3 linked regions of the Drosophila melanogaster genome follow. The protein of the gene in region 1 interacts with the protein of each later gene in a pairwise test. Each region holds a gene or a part of one and is shown in the gene's direction. Other genes may lie near its edges.

Region 1 (7,246 bases):
TCTTCTCTCGCCTCGTCTCGTCTCGTCTCAACTCGCGATTTGTTGCTGGTTGGCGTTGTTGGTGTTTTCCTGTATCTTGGTGGGCGTCCCTTTTGAGTTTAGGCGAAAAGTCATCATTTGCAGCAGAGGCCACATCGACGATGCGATGGATGCTAGAGTCTGGATTGCATACTGACTCGACCGAAATGTGGGATTCCCTAACGATCTGGTACATTCGGTAAGTGAGAGAGCTAACCCTTTGAATTTGCAGCCTAATTAAACGCTTCAATAAAGTTTTACTTGATTATAACTTAACCATCTACATATGTTATTAATTGGTTGAAATGGGGTTTTAAAACATATATGTATCTTGGAATATTGTAAAGAAAGATCTAGTATCTTCGGATGCCCAGAACATCCATCCATTATGTTTCGGTTTCTATTGACTCCCGAGAAACATGGTAGTCGGGGGGTATATTGACAAAGCAGTTGCCGGGAAACCGAAGGCAAAATCACATATACCCAAGTCCTTCTGAATACGATTCAGAAACCCTTTTACACTTTCATCTAAATTATATTGGTTTCTCCTGCAAAGATGATTCAGTACGATACTGTGCAGATCAAGAATGTATCATGGTAAGCTTTAGTTATGCCCGACTTGGCTCAAGATGACTATTGTGTGCTCTCAGGCAGCCGGAACTGCATACGGAGGGCACCTATGTGTGCTCTTTTCCAGAGCCCCCGCTGCCGGAGGCCCATCTGAAACCGGGCACCTGGCATGGCCATCTGGAGCCGTATCAGCGGCTCTTCTATCATCAAACGATGAACTCGGTGCGCTCGAGCAAGCGGTACCGTGCCAATCCGAACATCCCGAAGGATACGCTGGACTTTTCGCTGCAGTCGCGCTACGATCACACCCGCGAAGCATTTCCGGACAAGGTGGACTACGTGATGCAGAGGGAGACGTGCCGCGCCATAAGTAGCTGGTCAGCTCCTGGGGCGGCCAAGGAAATTGGTTCCCAACTCAAATCATTTCGGGTGTTGCGCAACACGCGCTTCATTCGGCGCAAGCAGGAGGACGTATTGGGTCATCCACTTCGCATAGGTAAGATCACAAAATTGGTACAAACCTAAAGTTCTCGACGCATTTTAAGTAACACCCACTTCGAATCTAATCATATTGTTGCAGGCGGTTGTAAAGAAAAGATTCATCCGCACAGCGTAAAGCTCATTTGCAGCGGTGTCCACAACCAGCTGGTGAACAATGGATTCTCGCGCCAGACCTCCGACGGCAACTTCTTCCGCTATTAGTTCCACAAATCTGTGTTTGCTTTCCCAGAAAGAATACCATTTTGCGTTTTGGGTTTTACAAACATTATTGGAAATAAATTTGGGACACAGAAGCAGTCGTCACGCAGTCGCCTCCAGCTTGGGCTGCTTGGGCAGGTGCTCCACATCTCCATCATACTCATCCACTGCTTGTGGAGTGTCCTGTTGGTCATCCTCCGCCTGTTGCTCCGACGCTTTGTGACGCTGTTTCTTGTTCTGGTTACGATAGCTCTTGGGTAGTTTGTTGTCACCAATCCTGAAATTGGATGGGAATTTAGTATGCGAAAGTGGGTGGCTCGATTACTTAGCTTACATAATAGTGGCTCTGGTTCCAGGTCCCCAATGTGGAGTCGGATTCTCTTGGAAGCGCGATAATGCCGATTTGCGACTCTTCGGGTTCGCCTCCGGATGGAGTTCATCGAACTCGTAGACAGCAGTGCATTCTTTCGAAAGTATGGCCGCCAGTGGAGATCCAGGAATCATCCTTTCGGGATTTACCGGATGTCGCTTGCTCCAGCTGCGCAGAATGTCCCATAGCACCGCTGGTGGAGCATTGGTTTTCAACGAATTCTTCGAGGCATGCGAGTATGAGACTCGATAGCCAGCGTGGAGAATAGCAGACCGGAACTTTAGCATGGGCACGATTTCTAGCTTGAGCACACAGCACAGTTTGTCCGGCGTGTAGTAAAGGGGAACATCCTGCAGCTCCTCTTGGACCATGGAAAGAACTCCAACGATTCGTCTCTGGGTTCCCAGCGATTGCAAGGTGGTCTCCTGGACCGCCGTTAAAAGATCCTGCACAAATTCGGGGTTATGAATCGGTGCCGACCAGATGGGTCCACCCAGATGATGCCTGTGACCGCAATGTTCGCACTGCGAGTTGACCGCCGGACCAGTGGGAATTCCGAACTTCAGCTGCTGGGGATTACCAGCCGTGGGATTTGGCTTGGTTATGCCCAAGGGCTGCAGCGTGAAGGTCTCACATCCGGTGCATTGGTATATCCAAGACTGCTTGCTCATCGACAGCTTGCATTGGGCCTGGCCGACGTACACACGCACAAATATCCGGATGTAAAAGTCCGCTGATATGCTCAGTAGTGGTTCGATGTACTTGCCGTACCTGTTCGCGTGGCTCTCGATGCAGTGCAGCAAAATGCGCAATGCCATCTCGTGACAGCACTTCATCCGCAGCGGAACCGATCCGTATTTTACATAGCAAGCTTCCGGAGCATTTCCGGCCAGCACGGCCATGTCGGTGGCTGTCACCAGCAGCAGGCCGCCGTCCACCAGGCACTGCATAGCGCCATCCAAAAAGCGATTGGGACATCCGTACGGATCCAAGTCAACTGCATCAAAACGCTTCTCGGGTTGCGTCGAAAGATACATGAGGGTCCTGTACGATGTATTGGAATGCCCCATTTTATACCGTGTGCCAATAGCTTAATTATAAACCTACATTGCATCGGAGTGACTGGGCTCGATCAGCTCCTCCACCTTGTTGTGCCGGATGTTTGTGTTGATCGAGGCCACTGCCTGGCGGGAAAGATCGTTGGCCACGATCTGGCGTACACCGGCGATTTCCTGCGCGTAACGGATGCTACGCAAACCGGTGGCTGCCAGTGCCTCCAGGATCCGAAGTCCATCCTCATATCGAGTACCGGCCTCATAAACAGGTGGATCCTCGGGAACGGGAGTGGTCTTCTCATCCTCCTGTTCCTTGACCTTCTTCCGCTGCTTTTTGAGCGCCTTTTCGCTCCGCTCCTTGGTCAATCTCTGTCGATAAACATTCAGAGCAGCAATGCTCAGATCTCGATTGAATTCCTGGACAGGATTGTAGAACACATTGCCGCCGGAAACGATCTCCGCATTACGTTCGCGTATCACGTTTTCGTTGGGATTTTCAGCAATAATCTGCAATCGTAATGCTTAGCTTAATGTGGTTTATTTATAATGTGTTTTTCTTTAAGAACCTGCGGCTTTTCCTCGTCCACTTCCATTTGGATGAGTTAAAAGAATACACGTGGGGCAGTGTTGAAAAACGTAAGCTACTAGCTATTAAGCTTTAAAACTAAAAATATACACAAATTTGTTGTTTTTTATATGAAATACGAAATAAACATTACAGAATTATATTTAAGTTTAATTTAGTTTCAAAATTTACAATTTGGGTATATTCTCTGTAATAATACATCCCATAAAATGATGTTGAATAAAAATGGTTCTTAATATTTATTTGAATTATTTAAAGATTAAAATAAATTAAAATAATAAATTGACATTAAATATGACTGGAAAATAAAACTTGAAGCTAGCTACTTTGCCACCACCAGGATTATCGAAAGGACTATCGAACCAAAGTCCGCCCCTATGCTTGATAAAGAAATTAATTTGCAGAAGTGAAACAGCCGCAGCCGCAAACAGAAGCAAAAGAGCTAGAAGTGATAGCATTTTTGTACTTTTATACAGTGCCACAAAGAAGCCACAGAATGACCGATCTGCGCAACGAGATGGACAGCGATCTGGACCAGAACTACTCCCTGAACAGCAATGCGGACCCCAAAAACATGCAGGAGCTGACCATATACGTGAGTAATGCCCGAACCGGGAACCACCCAGTAAATAGAGACACCAAATGAGCACCCAGTAAACCTGCCTCCTGTTATCAGGTACAAAATCTGTTGCAGAACGTTCAGGACAAGTTCCAGACGATGTCGGACCAGATAATAACGCGCATCGATGACATGGGCAACCGCATCGACGATCTGGAGAAGAGCATTGCGGATCTGATGAACCAGGCCGGGATCGAGGGTCAGGGACCGGAGAAATGAGATCCGTAGCGCTGGCACGGCCACGCCCATTCGGAAAGTGCATCCCAATACCATTAGATACATACATCGAACACCTGGCACCCAGTCACCCGTATCAAGTTTACAATTCCAGGTTCTCACATTCATTTAATCTCCTCCGCACCCAGCTGCTCCCCAAGAAATGAAGAAAAGAACACATTTGCTCATCCATTTATTGCTTAGTTTTAAGTTTCGCCCGGTCGGGGCACATCATAATTTAAGTAAAGTAATTCTTTTGTGAGCAATGGCCAATAATTTTGAATTATTGCCGTTTAGTTTCTATTTATAAATTAAAAATTCAAGAATTGTAAATTCCCTGCTATTTGGGTGTTCAGGACTTCGATTTAACAACGGTTACCAGGCGACCAGTTCCCGATTTGTGTTTCCTCACCTGAAAGTTTATTGCGAAAAGGGGAAGAGAAGCGCGTCATTTCCGCTTGATTAGTTATGATATGCATATATTTAGTATTGTTTATCTGGGACAAATAATGCAAATCGTGACCCGTGTCCATTAATAAAAAGTGTATGGAAATCAGCGCTGAATGGCAAGGAGTGCTATATAACAATCCCTACTTTTAAAAGGAAAATCAACATTGATTTGTGGACCAGAATGATTTTCGAATATTAATTGCAATTTGTGTTGCTTCTACATATCATGTTTTTTAAGGCAATGAGATAGAGAGTGGTAATACATTCTGATTAAATTATGAAAGGAAGCTCTGAGACTGCGGGGTTACAAAAACCAATTAAGATAAACCCTTAGAAGTATGTTCCTAATTCAATTTTATTTAAGCTCTTGCTACGATTCCAGAATGTGCCTGCAATACTGATGTGAGCTCTAGGAACTCTACTACTGGTCATAATTTGAGTGCTAGTGCTGGGGCACGTGGAACTGCTTCTGCAGCCTTACATGGGTGGAGGCCACCGCCTTGAATGGATGTTTGACCGTTTGTCTGCTGGGCTTCGAAGGAGCAGAAGTGGCACTGGCACTGGTCGATGGCGTGGCTATATCCTTGCTGGCAGATCGGATCTTGGCCCCAAAAACATTCTCCCGCGGAGGAACCTGGTTGCCCGGCTGCGTGGGTTCCCTCTCGTCATCCGTTGCCGTTCCAGATTCCTCGTCCTCTTCGCCACTTTGCTCGGTTTCCTTGGGAGGAATGGAGTTATTCTATCATTCCATAATCATGCCAAATCATACCTCATCTTCATCATCTTCCTCTTCATCCTGCTCGTCGGTTTCATCTTCGGGTTCTGTTTTACTTCCATGATTGATTCCGGCTCCCGTCAGATTCCTATTGCTCCTGGACAACTTCGGGCGCCTCTTGAGCGGACTGACCAGGTGCTCGTGCTCCAAGCTATCCATCGACTGGGAGCGCAGTCCCTTTTTGAGTGCAGTTTTCCTGGAAGCCAGCTCTTCTTTGGTCTTCATGAGTTTCTGAAACTCAATGAAATCGTCGCGCTCATCAATGGTTCCAATATCATAGTAGCTTGCGCTGAGTATCTCCAATGCCTTGGTGTGCTGTTTCATGGCGATCAGTATAAAATCGCTGATTATCTGCTTTAAGTCGCGCAACTTCCGCTGCTCGAAGTTGCCAATAATGTCGTCTATCTCCTTGTTTGTGCGCTGCACCTCCATTTTGGCCTTAAACAGCTCCGAATCGGCGGCACTCTACGGTAAGTTTTGGGAATTATATAAGAAGTAAATTGTTCGTTTTAATACCCACATTGTTCGCAGAAAACTTTGACTTGAGCTCAAGCATCTGGCGCTGACGTAGTACCTCCTTATCCCGCGCTATGACAGCCAGTCGAAGATTGTCCCTTGTGGACTTGCAAAGCTGCTCGAATTGCGCCAACTCGTTGACAATCTACATAAGTCAATAATATGATATAAGATGCAGATTTAAAAAAGGATAATTCACCTTGTGTTCCAATCGGTGTACATTGATGTCCATGTAATCACCCATTATGGTAACCGCGTTGGTGAAGCTCTTCAGTCCCTGACAGAGACTCTCGTTGATTTCCTCGTCGTCGGCGTAGCTCTTCACACTCTTGGCCAACTCATCAAAGGAGTCCCGATATCTGCAAGGTCTTATGATTATTCATTCAGATTTATTTATTTACCAAACTCACTTGGCCATTTTCCGCGTTACCAAAGCAAACGAAGAGCACATCTCCATTAGATGCCTTTCTGTTATGTTTATGCGCTCGTTTATTATTTTAACACGGTCATCTTTGGTGTTTAGAAAGGATAGTTTTCCACGACGAAACATTATTATTTTATTTTAGTCCCTTATATTTGTTTTCCTTCTTTATTTATTTTATTTCGACAATAAAATCAAGTGAAAACCGTTACCAAGGCAACGTCTAAATTCATCTGGCAACTCTCGTTCGAACAGCCAGCATATTTCCAGCTCTGTAAAATTAACAGAAATGTTAAGAACCTACTGCTGCCAGGTGGCGCTAGTATCAGCGTCTTCTGCAAGTACATAGATGGCGCAAGAATAAAGTTTATCAAGGAAATTTAAAACATTCTAAAAATATTCAATCCTAAAATAAATATCTGAATATGGGTACTTCATTTTTTTCCAACAGTGTCAAGGTCAAGAGCACGTTTCGTTATAATCTGTGAGTGTTTCTGTCTGTCATCCGGTGTCTAAATTTAAATTCGAAAGATTTATGACTAATTAAGAGACTGCAAATGATAAAGAAAAATATATATAATTAGTATATATAAAAAAATAGAAAATATACTACGATATTTACCTGAAGATCATAGCATTGTAAATAGTTTATTTAAAAACAAGTCAATCTGATATTTTAAAATATCGTTGGTCCTAAAAGCCAAGCTTTACTCACTTAAATATATGTAGGACTAAGCTGACTCAAATTCTTCTCACTTCGAAGCCTTGACAACCAAATCTTGTTTTTTGGGGAATTTATTGACTCGACCGCAAGAATGTTGTGTCAACGATTAACCGAAAATGGTAATTTATTTTAAATGCTCCTCTGCCACTTAAAGGCATAGTGCAATCAAACCTGTATTTAGTAAAACGAAAATAGCAGTTCGAATAAAACCAACGAAAGTGTAGTTA
Region 2 (6,830 bases), on another chromosome or scaffold:
GCAAACGCTGCCACCTCATCCGCACCTGGCGCAGCAGCAACAGCTGCCTCCGCATCCGCACCAGTTGCCGCCGCAGTCCCAACCGCTAGCGGGTCCCACCGCCCAGCACCAGCCGTTGCCCCCGCACGTAGTGTCGTCGCCCAACGGTGCTCCCTTTGCAGCGCCACCGATTTCGCTCACGGGAGGACTCCCGCCGGGCGCACCCACGGCCATTGTCACGAATCCGAGCGACCAAACCGGACCAGTCGCAGCGGGAGCAGCGCAATCTCAAGCACCTACACCCATGGGTAAGAACTTTAACGGATAACAATTCATAAACTATAATACTTAGACATCCAACTCCCGCCATAGATACTACACCACCAAGCAGCGGTCCAGTGTCAGATGCCAACGCACCGCCGGGATCGGCAATGCCACCAGGGGGAATTCCTCCGGCGAACACTGCTCCCATCGCCGGCGTAGCTCCCTCTTCTTAACTCTTACTCATAAGCCAGGAAACGTTAAAGTAAATAGCTCTAAGTCGTACGCTCTCAGTATGTATTATGTATACTCCACTTTAAGCCCAACTCTTGTGTGTAATCTGAAGGAGATGCACTACACATTGACGCGTCTCCAGTTTTGTGTAAGTTTCATTTCGTGTCCGGTCGCGTTTACAAGCAATTGCACAAATATTTTGAACCAAGTTTCAAAGCCGAAAAATAGGCATTCAATAAAAATTTATTTAAACTACGAGTGGCAGTTATTCCTTTATTTTTACAAAAGCAAAAGCTTTTAACTTACTTGAACAAGTTAATAAAATATCTATAATTTAAACATTATTTAATTACCATTTTTGAGTTTAAGAAATATACTAAGCTAGCTGCGTAAAATGCAGCCAAGTATTTAAGCCTTTTTTGATTGGTTATTAGATCACTGAAAGCTGGCGACGCCGCAGGATGTTTGGTCGCTTGATCTCTCTCATCAAGTCGTTACTCGAAGCAGCACGCTTTACGTTGGGCGAGCTTTGCAAGGAAAGTGGTGATGCGGCGGGAGATGAAGGTGGATGACTGGAGCAGGAGCCACTTTGGCATACCCTGGGAGGGGGCGGTGAAGATATGCTGATGTTGGCTCTCATGCTCAATTCGTTGGAAGTTGTTTCCGTCAGAATACCAACGTTACTCTGTGATTCTTCCAGTGACTTGCGTGTTTGCGCACACTCCAGGTGGCGGCCATAGTTGCCCATACTTTGGACATACACACTGTTGTAGAAAGTGATAATATCAGCGGTCTGACCATTGCCCAAGCTAACCTCTCGGTAAGCGCTTCTCCGAAAGTGCGGCTGTCGGCGATAGTGCTGGATAATCATGCTGAAAGTGAGGTGAAGCTTCTCGAGCCGAACATGAAGATGTATGGCGCACAACAGCAGTTGGTCCAGGTGTCGATTGCGGAGCAGACGGCTACTCTCTAAGGTGAAAGAGTGCTCGGCCAGGTGCCATATTTGGGGAAAGGAATCCACGAGGCAAAGACTCTTACACAGAAGGAGCAGCCGCCGGTTGGCCAGTCCGTAGAACTTTCGAAGGCAGATGCTTGAGCCTGTTGAAAAGTTCTCCTTGTCTTCTGTTTCTGCATCGACTTCCTTGTAGCGGGGAAGTCTTTGATTTAGCTCCCACCACAGCTGTGAGCTCTTGCGGAAAATCAACGAGTCCAGGCACATTTCCTCCACCACATCCAGGTGCTTGATCAGCTCTCTGCCCAGAAAACCATGATCGTAGCGCACCACCAACTCTAGAATCTTTTGAAAGTCGTAGGCGTCCAGTGAAAAGCAGTGCAGGACAAAGGGAAACCTTAGGCCTTCCACTAGTTTGTGGTGGACGTGAAGTGCCAGTTCCAGGCAGCAAGCTAACAGGGCGGCGGTAAGCTTGCGCTGCTTCATTAACTGACCAATCTTCAGCTGTGGTTTTTGAACCAGCTCCGGTCCCAAAATTTTCTGCAAATATTTGTAGTAAAGGCCTCTGGCCTGGCGGAATCGTTTTCCAGACAACTCAGCATCCAAAAAATCTTTCACGGCCATGGTAAAGGTCCGATTCATTTCTTCCAGAGTTTGATCTAAATAATTTACAATTTTATCTGCGTCTTCCTTCTTGGGGAATGCTTTTATAATGCTTAGGGGAAGACTTGCTGGTAGATCATGGGTGGACAGCTTCCTATGCGAAGGTGACGAGCTTGTTTGGAAGGCGAGCTGTGGGCTTTTAGGAGAGTCCCCTTTGGTCTCTATCGCCCCCTGGACGCTGAGCAGCACACGCTCGTCCATCTCACTAATGTCGGCTACTTGATTGGTGTATTTGCGATTTAAGTTTTCCAGATTGATATCTAGCATACCCTCCTTAATGATCTCCCGCATATGGGTGTCGTCTCCAACTAGACTATGGTCCATATAGAGCATTATTAAGGCTTTGTGGAAAAAGGCGTTCTTCATTTGCACCACTCCCTTCGCTGGTAGCTCGGGAATCAGTTCTCCCAGTGCTTCTAGCACGCTATATTTATTTAGCAAAATAGGATTGAAGTCTTCGGTGTCCCAATTCTTGGGCACTCCAGAGAACTCCCGGCGGATAACTACGGATCGGGGCACCTCTAAGGCGTTCACGAAAAGGAGATCCATTGTGCAAACGAGCACCTGACAGCCGTTGATCAGGTTTGTAATCGCAAAACCGGGTAACTCGTTGCGAATGACCAGGAAGAGCAACCAACCGAACTCATACAGCGCTTGGTAGTGATTCGCGGCACCCGGGTCCGCACCCTTGCCGGGGTGAACGAACAGGCTCCGAAAGATGTGCTTATAATGCCGCAGCAGCGTCGAAGTAATACCAAGTCGACAACGCAGTTCCTCAACCTCCAGCTGGAAAGTGTTCTCGTTTTGGGTCAGCCAATTCCAGTGCTCCATGCGGCGTAGAAACTGGGACACGTTCATCTTAAAGCTGCGCAGCAGACGGGTTAGTGACACGTTCCAGCAGCAGTTCTTGGCCACCGAATCGTTTGCCTCGTTGATGGACTCCCTAATATCGCGCATCTTCGAGCGCTGCAGTTCGCTGTAGACGGCGCAACACAGCCACTCCTGGGCATCTGCCTCGCTGGTGGACAGCCCGTTGACCGCATCCAAGCGATGGTAGGTGGACAGAGCGCTTTGCTGAATTCTCGCTTCCAGCTCCAATTGCTCGCAGCTGACGGAGAAGCGTCTCACCAGCGTCTCCGCCTCTCCCTCCACTTCACAAGTCTCCATTGGTAGGAAACTGTTTATATTCTATAGTCTACTAGTTTTTGTTTGTTTATATTTCTGCGTAGTTTACGCGAATCCCCGTTTAGACTGTACAAAATGCAAATTTCAGAAAGGCGCGAATGATTTCGATTGCTGCCTGCCTCACCGCCATTGTTATCGAAATTTTGCTTTTGCAACAGTGCTGCTTTAGCTGGCTTATCGATAGCTGATACTTAACCCATTGCTTTCACTTACTAAATAATTAATTACATTTCCTCATAAAGCAAGTGACTTTTAAAATACTTTCATGTTTTTAACATCATTTAGTTTTTATAAGTAATCTAAATTCAATTCATTTATTTCCTTGTCCATTGGAAGTATACCATATAAGGCCTTCATTAAAAAGGGGTCTTTCTAAGGTTAAAGTTTATTATTTGTTTTCAAAATGCTGCAAACAAATCGAGTCCTTCAAAAAGAGCAGGCTGAACTATTTGCTATCCAGAAGAAACTCGACCGAGTGCTCCCCGTCATTCAGGAGGCATTAAATTCACTAAAGGTATCTACAAATCTCTTGCTTCAATGACGGTTTTCCCAATTCAGTGTTCCACAGGTAGAGGAGCTGCATCTCAAGTCTCAGGTGGTGGGCCAGCAGAACCCAAAAACGCAGTGCTCCCCTGGAAGGGATCCCCTCCACATAGATCTGTCGGTGGAGCAGTCCCCAATCACAACTGTGATGGAGTCCCATCTCGTCAACAGCCAGCAAATAGATCTGGATCTCGTAAGCCAAATGAGGCGTTTCGAGGAGGAAGTCGACTCGGATTAAAATTGTTATTAAGGCTGGAACTTTACCAGAAAAACGTACATGTTGGGAGCATTAAAATATAAACAATACAGTACCAAAAGTATGTTCATTTTCGGTGTAAGTGTGGGAAAACTAAACTAGTAAAGCTACATACTACAGACCACAAATCGGTCTCTTGATTACTCTTGATCGTCAGAAGATTCAGGTGAACTCCCGGCTCGTTTTTTCTTTTTTTGTGGAGCTCCCTGCTTTTGATCCTCGCTGCTGTCGCTGTCCGAGCCACTTCCACTGGAGTCTGACGAGCTGCCTTCCTCGTCGTCCGAATCCGAACTGGAGCTGCTCGAGTCTGATTCGGATGAGGAGCCCGATTCGCTGCTGCTGTCTGAGCTGTCCGACGAGCTGGAGGAGGACGAGGAGCTCTTGCTCGTTTTCCGCTTTCGACGGACCTTCTTTCCTTCCGAGGAAGCCACTTCCGAGTGCTCCTCCACCTGGTTCTTGGGTGCGTCAGCCTCCTTTTGGGACATACGCTTGCTTAGCTGCTTGGTACGCGAGCTCCGGTGGACGTATTTGCGCTTCTCCTTGCACTCATAGCTCCAGTGTCCGATCTGCAGGCACTTCTGGCACCGGATGCCATTGGGAAAGTCTGCTGCTTGCTTTGCGGATCTGTTGTTACAGAATTCGTAGGTTACAACAAAAAAGCCGGCTGGGGTACTTCTTAAACGCGACTAACCTCTTCTTTTGCGCTAATTTGCGGGCAGCTAGGCCCACCAAAGTCATCCTGAAGCACTCGAGCAGACGCTGTTGGGAGGAAATCTTGATGTGGGTGGAAACCAACGTGGCCGGGTGGAAAAACTGGGAAAAATGAGTATCAAAAATGTTTTTTATAATTTTTTTCGTCACATTAGCGATAGTCCACTGAAAATTGTATACTTCGCAAATCGACTGTATATGGTATGGTCACCCTTATTGTTATCGGCTATCGAACTCAACAGCTGCTTGCCTAATTTGTGTCTACCTGGTTTATGTTGAAATGTCTGAATTTTAAAGTTAATTAAGCCAAAATTTAAGTGCATTATGCATGGTCGTAAAAAAAATAAGAAATAAGCAACAGCTGACAGCTATTTCACCCTTAATTGACTGGCACAAATTGCTTGGTCAAACAATAACAAAAGCGCTGTGCTGACTAAGCGGCGAAAGTGGTTGCAACAAAGTCCAATCACTATCAATCGGTAAGGTTGCTGCAGGTCATTTGCTGACCAGTAATAAAGGATTTCATACACAGCTAGCCATGGACAACAGCGCGTTGATGCCACAGGCGAGCGGACGTCATATGCCGCCCGAGGAACTGGCCATGCAAGCACTAACCAAGCAGCTTTACAAGTCTCGTCTCTTCCGCGGTTATTATATGGAACGCTGCTTGGTGGAGCAGGTGTCCGGCTACCGGGACGTGGTGGTGCTTCAACGCAGTGAGCGAGAGTTGGAGAAGCTGCTGCACTCGAGTGCCGGCCAATTACAAAAGTTTTATCAACGCTTCGTGCCCAATATGTGGGTGGGCATCACCTATGGGAGTTACGGAAGTTACCAGCACAAAGCAGATCCTGGTCAACTGGAAACCTGCATCTGGACAGAGATGAATGATCTGGCTTTTGGAGAGTATTGGTTTAGCATCAAGACCCTTCGCTTCCGGGACCATGAAGTCCAGTTCAAACTGAAGATGATAAGGCCCGTGGAGCCAGAGCTGATGGCGACGCCGAGGAGATCACTGATTCTTAATAGAAGTAGCCCTGTTAAGGCGATCACAGCGGGTGGGGAAAACTCCTCCTCCAAGCCGGATGAAGTGGCGGAGCAAATTCAGCTGGGCCTTAATGATTTTTTGGCTGTGCTGCAACAGTGGGGTGATGGAGTCAAACAAACCGTGTACGACTTCATGACCAACGATGTCAACAAGAGGAACATTTTGGGCACCATTCGGTTTCTGGGTCTACTAATTTTCTCTGCCTTGGGTGGAGCCGCACTAGCGCTACGATTCCTAGGCGTATTTGCTGTGCGATTCCTGTTTGAGCTGAGTCGTTTCACACATACAGCCACTCCAATAGTGTTTAAACTAATCGAGTTTCTGAACAAGATTGTGGGTGCTATCTTCATACTTTTGACCATGATTTGGAAAGACATTGTCACTCGTGGACATCCGGAACCGAAACAGCAGCAGCTGCATCTGGAGGCAAGTAGCCGCTTCAAGAGCATCCAATACGAGCGTTCCGAACCAAATCGACGTAGTCCCCGGTGGTGACCCGCCACTAAAAGCACATTAATGTCTAGCAAAGTGTTCCGAGGTGTAAGGGCAACGAAAAATCATTGAAATTGTGTTACTAGCCGTAAGCAAAGCGAAGCCAATCCCAATCCCCGCTTCGAGTCCGAGGGTATTTGCCCTGCAAATATGGGGACACCTATGAGATTTACAGATTTTAGTCAATTGCAATATTGTAAATTATTAATTGGCGTGCCACTGGCGCACAATCGCATGCTTATTAACCCCACTGTTAATTCATTGTGTATTGTCCAAAAATATGTTTTATTAAATCCGTTTAGTGTTAGATCCTGTAATTTATGTATCGAAAATTATTGTGAATAAATTGAATGCAATATGCGAAAATCGAAATGAAAGAGCTTGGCGTTTCGTTAGTTTTAATAGTTATACACTTTCCCTTTATTACTTTAGTTGATTTTAATCTCGTTAAATTGTTCTCATATATATTTATTATGTATATACTCGTACGTGTTCATGCTGTCGTCTTC
Region 3 (8,794 bases), on another chromosome or scaffold:
TTTGTGGTTAATTTCCAGGCATCCTAAGTCTGCGAAAATTAATCGAAGGCATGAAAAGCCCAAGGGCGGTTGCTATATCTACATCCGCATCCGGAGGCGACGATCTGCCAACTGACTCCAGCTGGAGTCGGTGTCTTCCCTATCGTTCCGGTCCTCGTACGGATGTGGAGTGAAAGCTCTCCCAGATGTGAGTGAAAGCTTCTGAAAACAGAGCGCCGGCGCCGATTGAGTGCTTCTCAAAATTGTGGGTGGTGCCAAAATTAGCTTGAGTGCTTTGTCTTGAGATAAGAGTGTTTTACTTAATAGGAATTTTATCGGGGCTACCTGGTGTCCAAGTCGCTGGATTTGCTGGTGATCCAAAGCACTTGTATCCTTCTGTCCTTTGCTTCGAAGCTTCATTATTTTCTCTAGCTGATTTTAAATAGCGCGCCCAAGTGGCGAATGCATTATCGATAACTACCGACAGATACTGTTTGGCCAGTCGACGTGCACGGTTGCACGCAGCGTGGACTATCGAGAGAAGCGTTATCGATGTGTGGTCGCTTATCGATGCAGTTTTATAAACAGAACTCTAAAGTACAACAAAAGCACAAATTAAGCAGCTGCCGCGCGAAAAAACAACCATCTCGGCCCCGCTCGCATCTCGGCATGTCCAGCGGCGGGAGGCGCAGCGCCTAGTCCCGCGCCTCCGCTCCTCTCAAGGAAATCCCCCTGCGCCGCCACGCAATTATGCAAGTTGCAGCAGTGGATCTAACTGTACTCGCCGCCAGTGGAACAGCAAGAGGAGGAGGAGGAGGAGCCCCACGGGCCCGAGCCCATGACCCTTGACAACCCGTGGCAGGCACCGCCACCGCTAGAAGACGAGTCCACACACTCGGTAAATAGGTGCCCACCAGTGGCCGACCAGGCGTCACAGACTAACTCTTCTCCTGCCGCCTATAGACATGAACCAGAAACATTCCGAACCATTCTACATATCGCCCCGGCTGTTCGACAACCGTCGTCTCAAGCGGCGCCGCTGTCGGTGGATGGAACGCCTGCTTGAGCACCAGCGGATCTGCATGGCCCGGATGCGCGACCAAGTGGCTCTCGCCTCCAAGACTGACCGGCAGCTGTCCCATCTGCAGCGGCGCCATGTCGCCTCCACTTTGCAGCCGGACGTGACCATCGACCTGCTGTCGGATGACGATGAGACCCCATCGGCCGGACAGCCCGCTGCAGCTGGCCACAATCGCCTCCTGATTCCTGCCCCAGGGCACCGAGCACATAGAACGGGCAGAAGGCAGGCGCCGCGCAGAGCTGCCACCCACTCATACCCAGTGACCGACAGCATCCTGATAACCAGCGATGACGAGCACAACGAGCAGGAACCCAGCAGCACGGCAAGAGTGCGCTCCCAGCTCTCCATGCGCTCACCGCCACCGCTCGCACCGCTCACACAGTCGGAGACCATCGAAGAGGTAACTGTTTCGTTGGTGCCGCGCACCTCCACCACTGCCAACTGCCTGACGCGGGTGTCAGGTCACCCCAAGCCGTGTCGAGCGTCGACGGCGGCCAGCAATGGATTCGCCACCGCCGAAGGCGGAGAGGGCGGCAATGAAACGGGCTGTTTTCTGGAGGTGGACGTGGGCGGAGGCATCACAGCCACGCTGCCGGACGAGACGACCGTTCACACGGTCATCGCAAACCGTATTTACGAACTCTCGCTGAGCAAACTACGCGAAGGCCTGGCTTTTAGTGGAGTGCCGGAATACACGAACGACCTGATGCCGGAGCAGCTGCAGAAACTGTCACCGGCATTGCGCGCCAAAGTGGCGCCCTTGGTGGCTCCCTCGCCGCCCACGCCCATCTCCCTAAAACTGTCCAGCGACCTCAGCATATCACTGATCTCAGACGAAGACGATTGCGAAAGCACCGGTCCACATGTCAACGGAGGAGTCGGCACCGAACCGGTGCACCCCGTCGTGGTGGCTGCGGCGGAGGCACACGCTGCCGCCAAGCTGCTCAAGCAGCAGCAGCCACAGCTCTCGGTGGTGCAGCATCTGCAGTACGTCGGCGGCGGACTCGCAGCTCCAGTGGCTCTTGCCCTTCCGGTGATGGCAGCAAATCCGACCTCGTCTGCTTCCGTTGTTGCCTTGCCGCTGCAGCTGCCGCGGCGCCGAAAACTGGGATGAGCTGGATGACTGATGACCGATGACCCGCCAGAACCGAGTCCCCATCGCCATAATATCATTCCCCGAGCCGGAAGCACGGCATAGACTTTAACTAGCAGTGGCTAGAAGTGCAAATATGAACGTAGGTTTAGCGACAACACATCACTATTTCCCAGTTATCCTTGAATCCAGGACTAGTCCTTGTCCGGTCGATTTTTGTATCCTTCCCCTTTCCCAAGCACCTTCTCTCCATCTCACTCAGTTGCCCATTAATCTCCCTGTCTCTGTCATTCTCATATTTTAAGCTTTAAATGAAACGAGACGACAACGTACAAATGAAAGTAGAAAAGCATCAACCCATATACATTGTTGAGCAAAAAACACAAATTTCAAAAGATTATAAGAGGGAGTAGAAAATTTGAAGCGAGTGAGAAAGGTGAGCCCAATATTTATAAAGTACAAGTAGCTAGCTTAAGATATACTATGTATATGTACATTTGATTTAGTGTATCATATATTACATGGCTGAATCACGTCGTGTAATCCGTCGCAGTCCGCCGTCTGTATTACATTAGCTGATCACCAAACCGGAATAAATTTTCATTGTATATATATATATATATACATGTACACCAGCTGTGAGAAAAGGAAACTATGCGTATGCCATCAAGGTTCGTTTCGACCAAGCGCTCCTTGAACCACGACTGATCTCTGGCCAGGATTTCGTGGGTGAACTCGTATCGCGCTAGGGCACTCTTAATATAGAGCGAGAGTTGCGGCAGGAGCAGATCCTCAGAGTGGCTGACAAAGTCATGGGATCCTTGGTCACGCGCTTCAGTCGCTGAGCATGCTAATGCCCGCAGTGGTGTTGCCGCAAAACTGTCGAATACAATCGTAAATGAAAATGAAATCGAGTTGCATCTTCTGTGGCCAAACTCACTCGAGTGTTGTCCACGTGCGGCTTGATCGCGCCAGAGTCAGCCAAGTCCAGGATGTGCACGAAGGGCATGACCTGCTCACCGAAGGAAACTCACGAGACGTGATCCAGCGTGGCCTGGTTTTGGGGAGTCCACTTTCGGCGTTCAACTTCGCGGTATCTGCCTGCGAAGTTTAAGAAGTTTAGCCAGAAATCCGATACTATATAGTCTCTATATATACCCACCCACGTCATCACAGTGGCTCAACTCGTACGGCAAGCGGCTGATGTGAGGCTCGATTTCCCGCATCAGTAGTTGCTCCTCCTTCGCAGTGATGAAGTCCCTGATGACCCGCATGTCCGATTCAAACTGGTGCTGCTCACAGCGAGGCCACTGGCCGGGAAACTCCACCAGGGCGTGGCTGCGGGCCCAGACATCCGCTGGAATCCTGGCTACTCCCGGATAAACAAGCCGGCGCAGGACAAGCATGTGTTTCGTCACCTGTTTTTAAAGGCCTTCCGCCCAGTAATCGATTGGAGCCATTCGATAGCCACATGCGCTCAACCGCCAAGAAAATTACTCGATTGCCCCGGCACCAGGTAAACACACACAACAGAGCAGCGTCGGAATGCAGGGATGCCAGGACCTCTGACGGCTGGATGCCAGGGAACTTCGCTGGTCCGGGAACACTCGATTGGTAACGCATGCGCCGTGCAAGCACGCAGTCCTCGTTCGGCTAGGGCGGAAACGCTTTCCGGTGTAGATATACCAGAAATATTTCTGCTCTTCTGGCGTTATGCTGCGTCGGTGGACGAGTGCCGTGTCCTGACTCCAGAAAGCTGTGTAGTGACGAGTGCAAAGCGAAGCGAATTGAATCGAATCTTTATCCTAAGGACACGGCTAAATCGGTGAGCTCCTCGAGCTATGAGCACCTAGACCCGTTAATTGTGAAACCTTCCTGAATCGGCAAGGCAAGTGCGGTTTGAGAAAATGCCAGAAACATCGCCGGTGAACCGCCCACACACCCCCAAAGGTGCATAGGTATACAAGGTACAGCTAGGACGAGATCCCCCATGAAAACCCAAAGGAATCCAGCCAACTGACCGCTGACGTGTGTGGAAAAGTCAACAGACACGAGCTCCCCTCCACCGTGTTTAATGTGCACTCGTGCCCTGGAAACTGGACGCAACTGACACAATTAATGGCGGCTGGGAAAAAACGGGCCGGGGCACCGCACCTAAAACTAATCAAAAATTCCTTTAGTGGCCCGCAATAATGCCGATGGGCAGTGAATGTGGGTGGCTGTGTACATATTCCCAGGCACTGGCACTGGCAAAGGCAAAGGCATACTAAAACCCGTGAAGTGCTGCACTGAAAAGTATACCATGTTTCGTGTGTACCCATCTCTGCGTCCGTTTCCTTTTGGTGCCCCTTCCTCGGATTTCTTGCTCGAGATAAACATGTACATGCAGCCAAAATAACTTGACATGCCTTGTTTAAAGCAACTTCCAACTCCAAAAACGTTTACATATGCAAAACAAATTCGAAAGTGATTCGTGTTCTCTCAGCAAATGGCATCTTAATGGCAACTGCGATGAACAATTGTATTCGGCCAACACTATTGTCTGTTCTGCCAGCCGCATTTCTGGGGTCCCGATCCAGATCCGCATGCAGTTCCAGATCCAGCTCCAGTCACGCCTTCCGCTCTGTCCTGCTTTCTTGCTCCATTCCGTGTTGCAGAGCAGAGTTTGCGCACTCCGTTGCATACTTTTTGCATTGAGCACTGGCACTGCCACTGCGAGGCTCCACTCCATTCCACCACACCCTGTTAAAGAATGTGCGAGGATACATGGTTTATCTACACCAAAGTTGCATGTTGTGTGTGTGCGGTTTAGCGTGTTGTTGCCGGTACCAAACGTAAACAAAGACCAAAAAAATAAGGACATTTTCACGTTACCCATACGCCCCGTTGTCTCTCATTTTCTGCAGCTGCAACATAGCCACTGAGCTCCGCACATCTCAAACGGCTGCAGGATGTTGATCCGTTGGAAGAGTAAGGACAAGAGCGCCTCCTCCAACCAGAGCGTCGGCGGCAGCAGCAGCTCCTCGTCGAAGAAGAAGCGCAAGGGTAGAGAGGGCGGTAAGTAATCGGAATCCATAAATCGGAAGGAAGCGAAATGAAATGAGCCTAACTCCAGCTCCCTCTCTTTCAGAAGAAGACTGGCAGAATGAGGCAAAGTCGGGACGGCTTCCGTCGAATGAACAGGGTATGTTAAGGACCAAAGACGTCCACGGATCTGTAGCCCCATCCTCAGTGTCTATGTGTTTCCCCAGGTGGCGACGAAAGACGACGAGCCATGCGACGCGACGATCCACGACGACATACGCTCGGCGGCGATATGCTGGTCTACGGCTCGCAGCATCCACACGCCCATCAGATGGCGCCCCAGCAACAGCGGGCCATGGATCTGGAGGTGAGCTCCATCTCCCATCTCAACTCGTTTCTACCATCAGTTTCTGATTCTTGTCCCTTCTTAGATGAGTACGCGCGCGCAGAAGAACAAAAAGAACCAGCCGATGCGCGGTTATGCGCCTGTTAACCAGGGACCGCTGTTCGACGACGATCCCGGCATCATGTCGGAGGTGGAAACGGCCAGCACCGGATTCCGGAGGGGCGGCAAGCAGCGCTCCTCGCTCCCCGTGGTACGCACGCCCTCGAAAACTCTGGAACGACCGCTGGGCCTGGTCTTTCTGCAGTACCGCTCGGAGACGAAGCGCGCCCTGCTGCCCAACGAGATCACTTCGATTGATACGGTGCGCGCCCTGTTCGTACGCTCGTTTCCGCGCCAGTTGACCATGTCATATCTGGAGGGGCCCAATGTGAAGATTTACATTCACGATGCCAGCAAGGATATGTTCTACGAGCTGGAGGACGTGCGCTCGCATCTGCGCGAGATCAGGGATCGCTCCGTGCTGCGTCTCTTTGAGTCCACTGAGGTGGCAGCCCCGCCCCAGATTCTGCCCGGCGGCCCTGGAATACCCCAACCCCTGCCGCAGGCGCAGGCCAATTGGGATCAGGATCAGAGCTACTTCAGCGAGCCGGAGTTCGACTCGGACTACAAGCACCAGCATATCCACAAATCAAAGGTAAGTGCTGCTAGATGGTATCAGTTAAATAGTCCTTTATTCAATATCACCGCGTAATTGCTAGGGTGAGGATGTAGGGCTTAGGGAAGCAGGATGGATTGGTGTCCATGAGCGAGTCAAGGATTGTTTGGTGGCCAAATGGGTGGCAACAGTAAAGCGTTGACTCCCACATGGACAATTGTGGCACAAGATGCCCAACCAATCGAATACTTATTCGTACATATATAGAAAAAAAAAAGATATGGAAATAATGGGGTGGGGCTGGGAAAGCTTAAGCTGGGGTCCTAGGACACTAGAATGTTATCCGAACTTTGGGAACAACTAGAAGTTACCACATGGACCCACACTGAGGCCCTTGAGGGCGTTGTTCATGTGCTCGCGCACATCCTTCCACGAAAACACGATGGCACCCTGGAAAGGCTCCGTGTGGCAGCTGCTACAGATGGCCATCACGGCCCTTACCTCCTCCTCGGCGGGCTCTCGGTCGTGCGTGCTGATCTCCTCCTCCAGGCTCATCTTGAGCGTAAGATCCTGCTTAAATTGCTGTCCGCCAAAGTCGGCGAGACCGTTGTAAATCAAGCTCCCATCCGTTCCGGAACCGACACCGTCGTCCACCACAGATCCATCGTCCAGCAGCACCAGGCCGCGCTTCTGAACCTTCTTAGTGGCGTCGGTGTTCCTCTTGAACTGGATGTGGGTCTCCGTTTCGTCGATGAACTGCACGTTGGCTGAGTTACTTAGCATTTGGAAGCGTTTGCCACCGCCACTAGGCTGCAATCCGCTCGGCGGCGAGAGGCCAAGGAGTTGCTGGGCCACCAGTCGCGATCCCGCGTTTATCTGTCCGTTCACAAAATTTGTGTTGATGGTGATGGCCTGCTGGGCGGAATCGGTCGGAGCTCCGGCCGCGCCAGGAGCGGGAGCACCACTTGCAGTCGGCGGCGGATTGGCCAAGTTGATGCGCACCCGGGTCGGGATCTGGCCACTGGCGAGCAGCGTGTGCATGGGTTGAGGACGATTAATCTGAATGGAGGTCTGGCGTGTTATATTGTCTCCGTGGGCACTGGTTACGAACTTACCGAGGGTGGGGCACGAGTGGTGCTGGAGACCTCCTGGCCCTCGTGATCAAAGTGGTGGACATGGTGGTGCTTGTGGTCGCGATGCGCCTTGCCTGCACTGAGCGCCACCCGATAGACCTGGACGAGCGTCATCTCGAAGTGGAGGCCGTGGCTCACCTCGCCGGTGACCGAACTGCCGCCGGAGCGCAGCTTGCCATTCGCTGGGATTTTATGTCCCACCAACTGAAGCAATTAAGAATTAAGTGGAGACGGAGATTTGAGATTATAGCAGCTGACATTCGCACGCCGAAAGTGAAAACGCGAACAAGGCATTTTGCAATATGCGTAATTGGAGTCAAATGGAGTCAAACTCACCGAGTTGTGGAAACCACGCCCAATGCGTTCTGCCTTCAGCCAGGCCTGCCACTCGCCCGTCTTGCCATTCCACGAGCTGCACATGTGATGCCACTGGCGCATTTTCAACGGGTAGTTCAATCTTGAGCAGAAAAACGATAAAGATTCGACGGATTGACGCCGGATTGATCGATGGATGGTTGCGTCTAGACTTACCTGTACATTTGCTGACCTTTTATGGCCATCGAAAGGAAACTGGAATTCTGCGCATTTGCGACCCAGATTTGCACCTCGCGTGGTTCCTTTCCAGCTGCAAGTGTGAATGTGGATGTGGATGCATAAGTGGATCAGATTGGCTTTGAGACTCGCTTTCATGCCAATAATGGTAACGGCGGCTCAGATTGCGAAACTGAGTGGAGCAGCGTTCCCAACTACTACCAACAACTCGATGGCTCAATGGCCAGAACGTTTCGCTAGGCAACTAGTCATCTCACGAGCCACGAGGAATCCCCCCATCGGTGATCAGATGCGATCAGGAAACCCGCCCAAGCGGTGAGCCAGGCGGTTGGTTATACAACCGGCATGCGGCAAATCCTGTTACGCTGGCAACATGTGATATGCATACATTTAAATATGAATCACCAAATCACCACCGGCTGTGAGTAAAGCACTTCCTATCCGGAAGCTTGGCTGCTGATCACTACTACTTGAGTTGACGCTCTGGAATTATGTCAAATGCTAAGGCCCGCCGCTTGAACTTCAGCTTCGGTTTAAGCGTGTTAGCTTCAGCATTGGCTTAAGCTGCTACCCACAGCTGAGAGTGCGACACCAACAATGCCGACGACATCCAACTGGAAACAGGTAAATTATCGCTTATGTAATGCGACCGCAGCGACAACAACGCAGACAACAACATCAACAGCATCAACAACAACAGCAACAGCATCAACAACAGCAGCGACGACGCCAAGAGCAGCGGTGGCATCGACGACCTGGGGCAGTTGAAAATATCCAAACATATTCAAGACGTTTGAAAACAAAACGAATCTTGAGGGCGGCATTATGCAGCAGCAGCACTTCTCGTCCCACATCAGCAGCACCATCGTCATAATCTTCACCAGCATCATAGCTGACCATCAAACTGGGTGCTGCCGACTTGCATCAGGAA

The links.
Region 2: the proteins of CG5446 (region 1) and CG32856 interact in a two-hybrid assay, tested with the Drosophila melanogaster proteins (one large-scale study listed by BioGRID).
Region 3: the proteins of CG5446 (region 1) and CG32809 interact in a two-hybrid assay, tested with the Drosophila melanogaster proteins (one large-scale study listed by BioGRID).

The regions. Positions count from the first base shown.
Region 1 is NT_033779.5:12,424,116-12,431,361, reverse strand, and holds CG5446 (uncharacterized protein), read left to right. Parts: upstream 1-3,652; 5' UTR 3,653-3,794; coding exon 3,795-3,893; intron 3,894-3,974; coding exon 3,975-4,136; 3' UTR 4,137-4,731; downstream 4,732-7,246. Other genes in the region: CG5435 (uncharacterized protein), read left to right, coding at 575-615, 669-1,084, 1,169-1,290; Trm1 (tRNA methyltransferase 1), read right to left, coding at 1,390-1,564, 1,622-2,701, 2,765-3,219, 3,279-3,305; Fam92, read right to left, coding at 5,026-5,301, 5,353-5,823, 5,879-6,019, 6,074-6,233, 6,285-6,424.
Region 2 is NT_033777.3:15,962,032-15,968,861, reverse strand, and holds CG32856 (uncharacterized protein), read left to right. Parts: upstream 1-3,510; 5' UTR 3,511-3,677; coding exon 3,678-3,788; intron 3,789-3,842; coding exon 3,843-4,055; 3' UTR 4,056-4,184; downstream 4,185-6,830. Other genes in the region: mor (moira), read left to right, coding at 1-287, 352-476; Rbf2 (Retinoblastoma-family protein 2), read right to left, coding at 905-3,256; CG5516 (uncharacterized protein), read right to left, coding at 4,214-4,697, 4,765-4,811; CG4287 (uncharacterized protein), read left to right, coding at 5,323-6,324.
Region 3 is NC_004354.4:1,687,623-1,696,416, reverse strand, and holds the start of CG32809 (uncharacterized protein), read left to right. Parts: upstream 1-3,648; 5' UTR 3,649-3,978; exon of another isoform or gene 3,979-4,120; intron 4,121-5,059; 5' UTR 5,060-5,104; coding exon 5,105-5,210; intron 5,211-5,283; coding exon of another isoform or gene 5,284-5,286; coding exon 5,287-5,337; intron 5,338-5,404; coding exon 5,405-5,544; intron 5,545-5,608; coding exon 5,609-6,217; intron 6,218-6,229; exon of another isoform or gene 6,230-6,538; coding exon of another isoform or gene 6,539-7,237; intron 7,238-7,293; coding exon of another isoform or gene 7,294-7,515; intron 7,516-7,647; coding exon of another isoform or gene 7,648-7,768; intron 7,769-7,842; coding exon of another isoform or gene 7,843-7,936; intron 7,937-8,311; exon of another isoform or gene 8,312-8,487; intron 8,488-8,794. Other genes in the region: a6, read left to right, coding at 945-2,174; b6, read right to left, coding at 6,539-7,237, 7,294-7,515, 7,648-7,768, 7,843-7,936.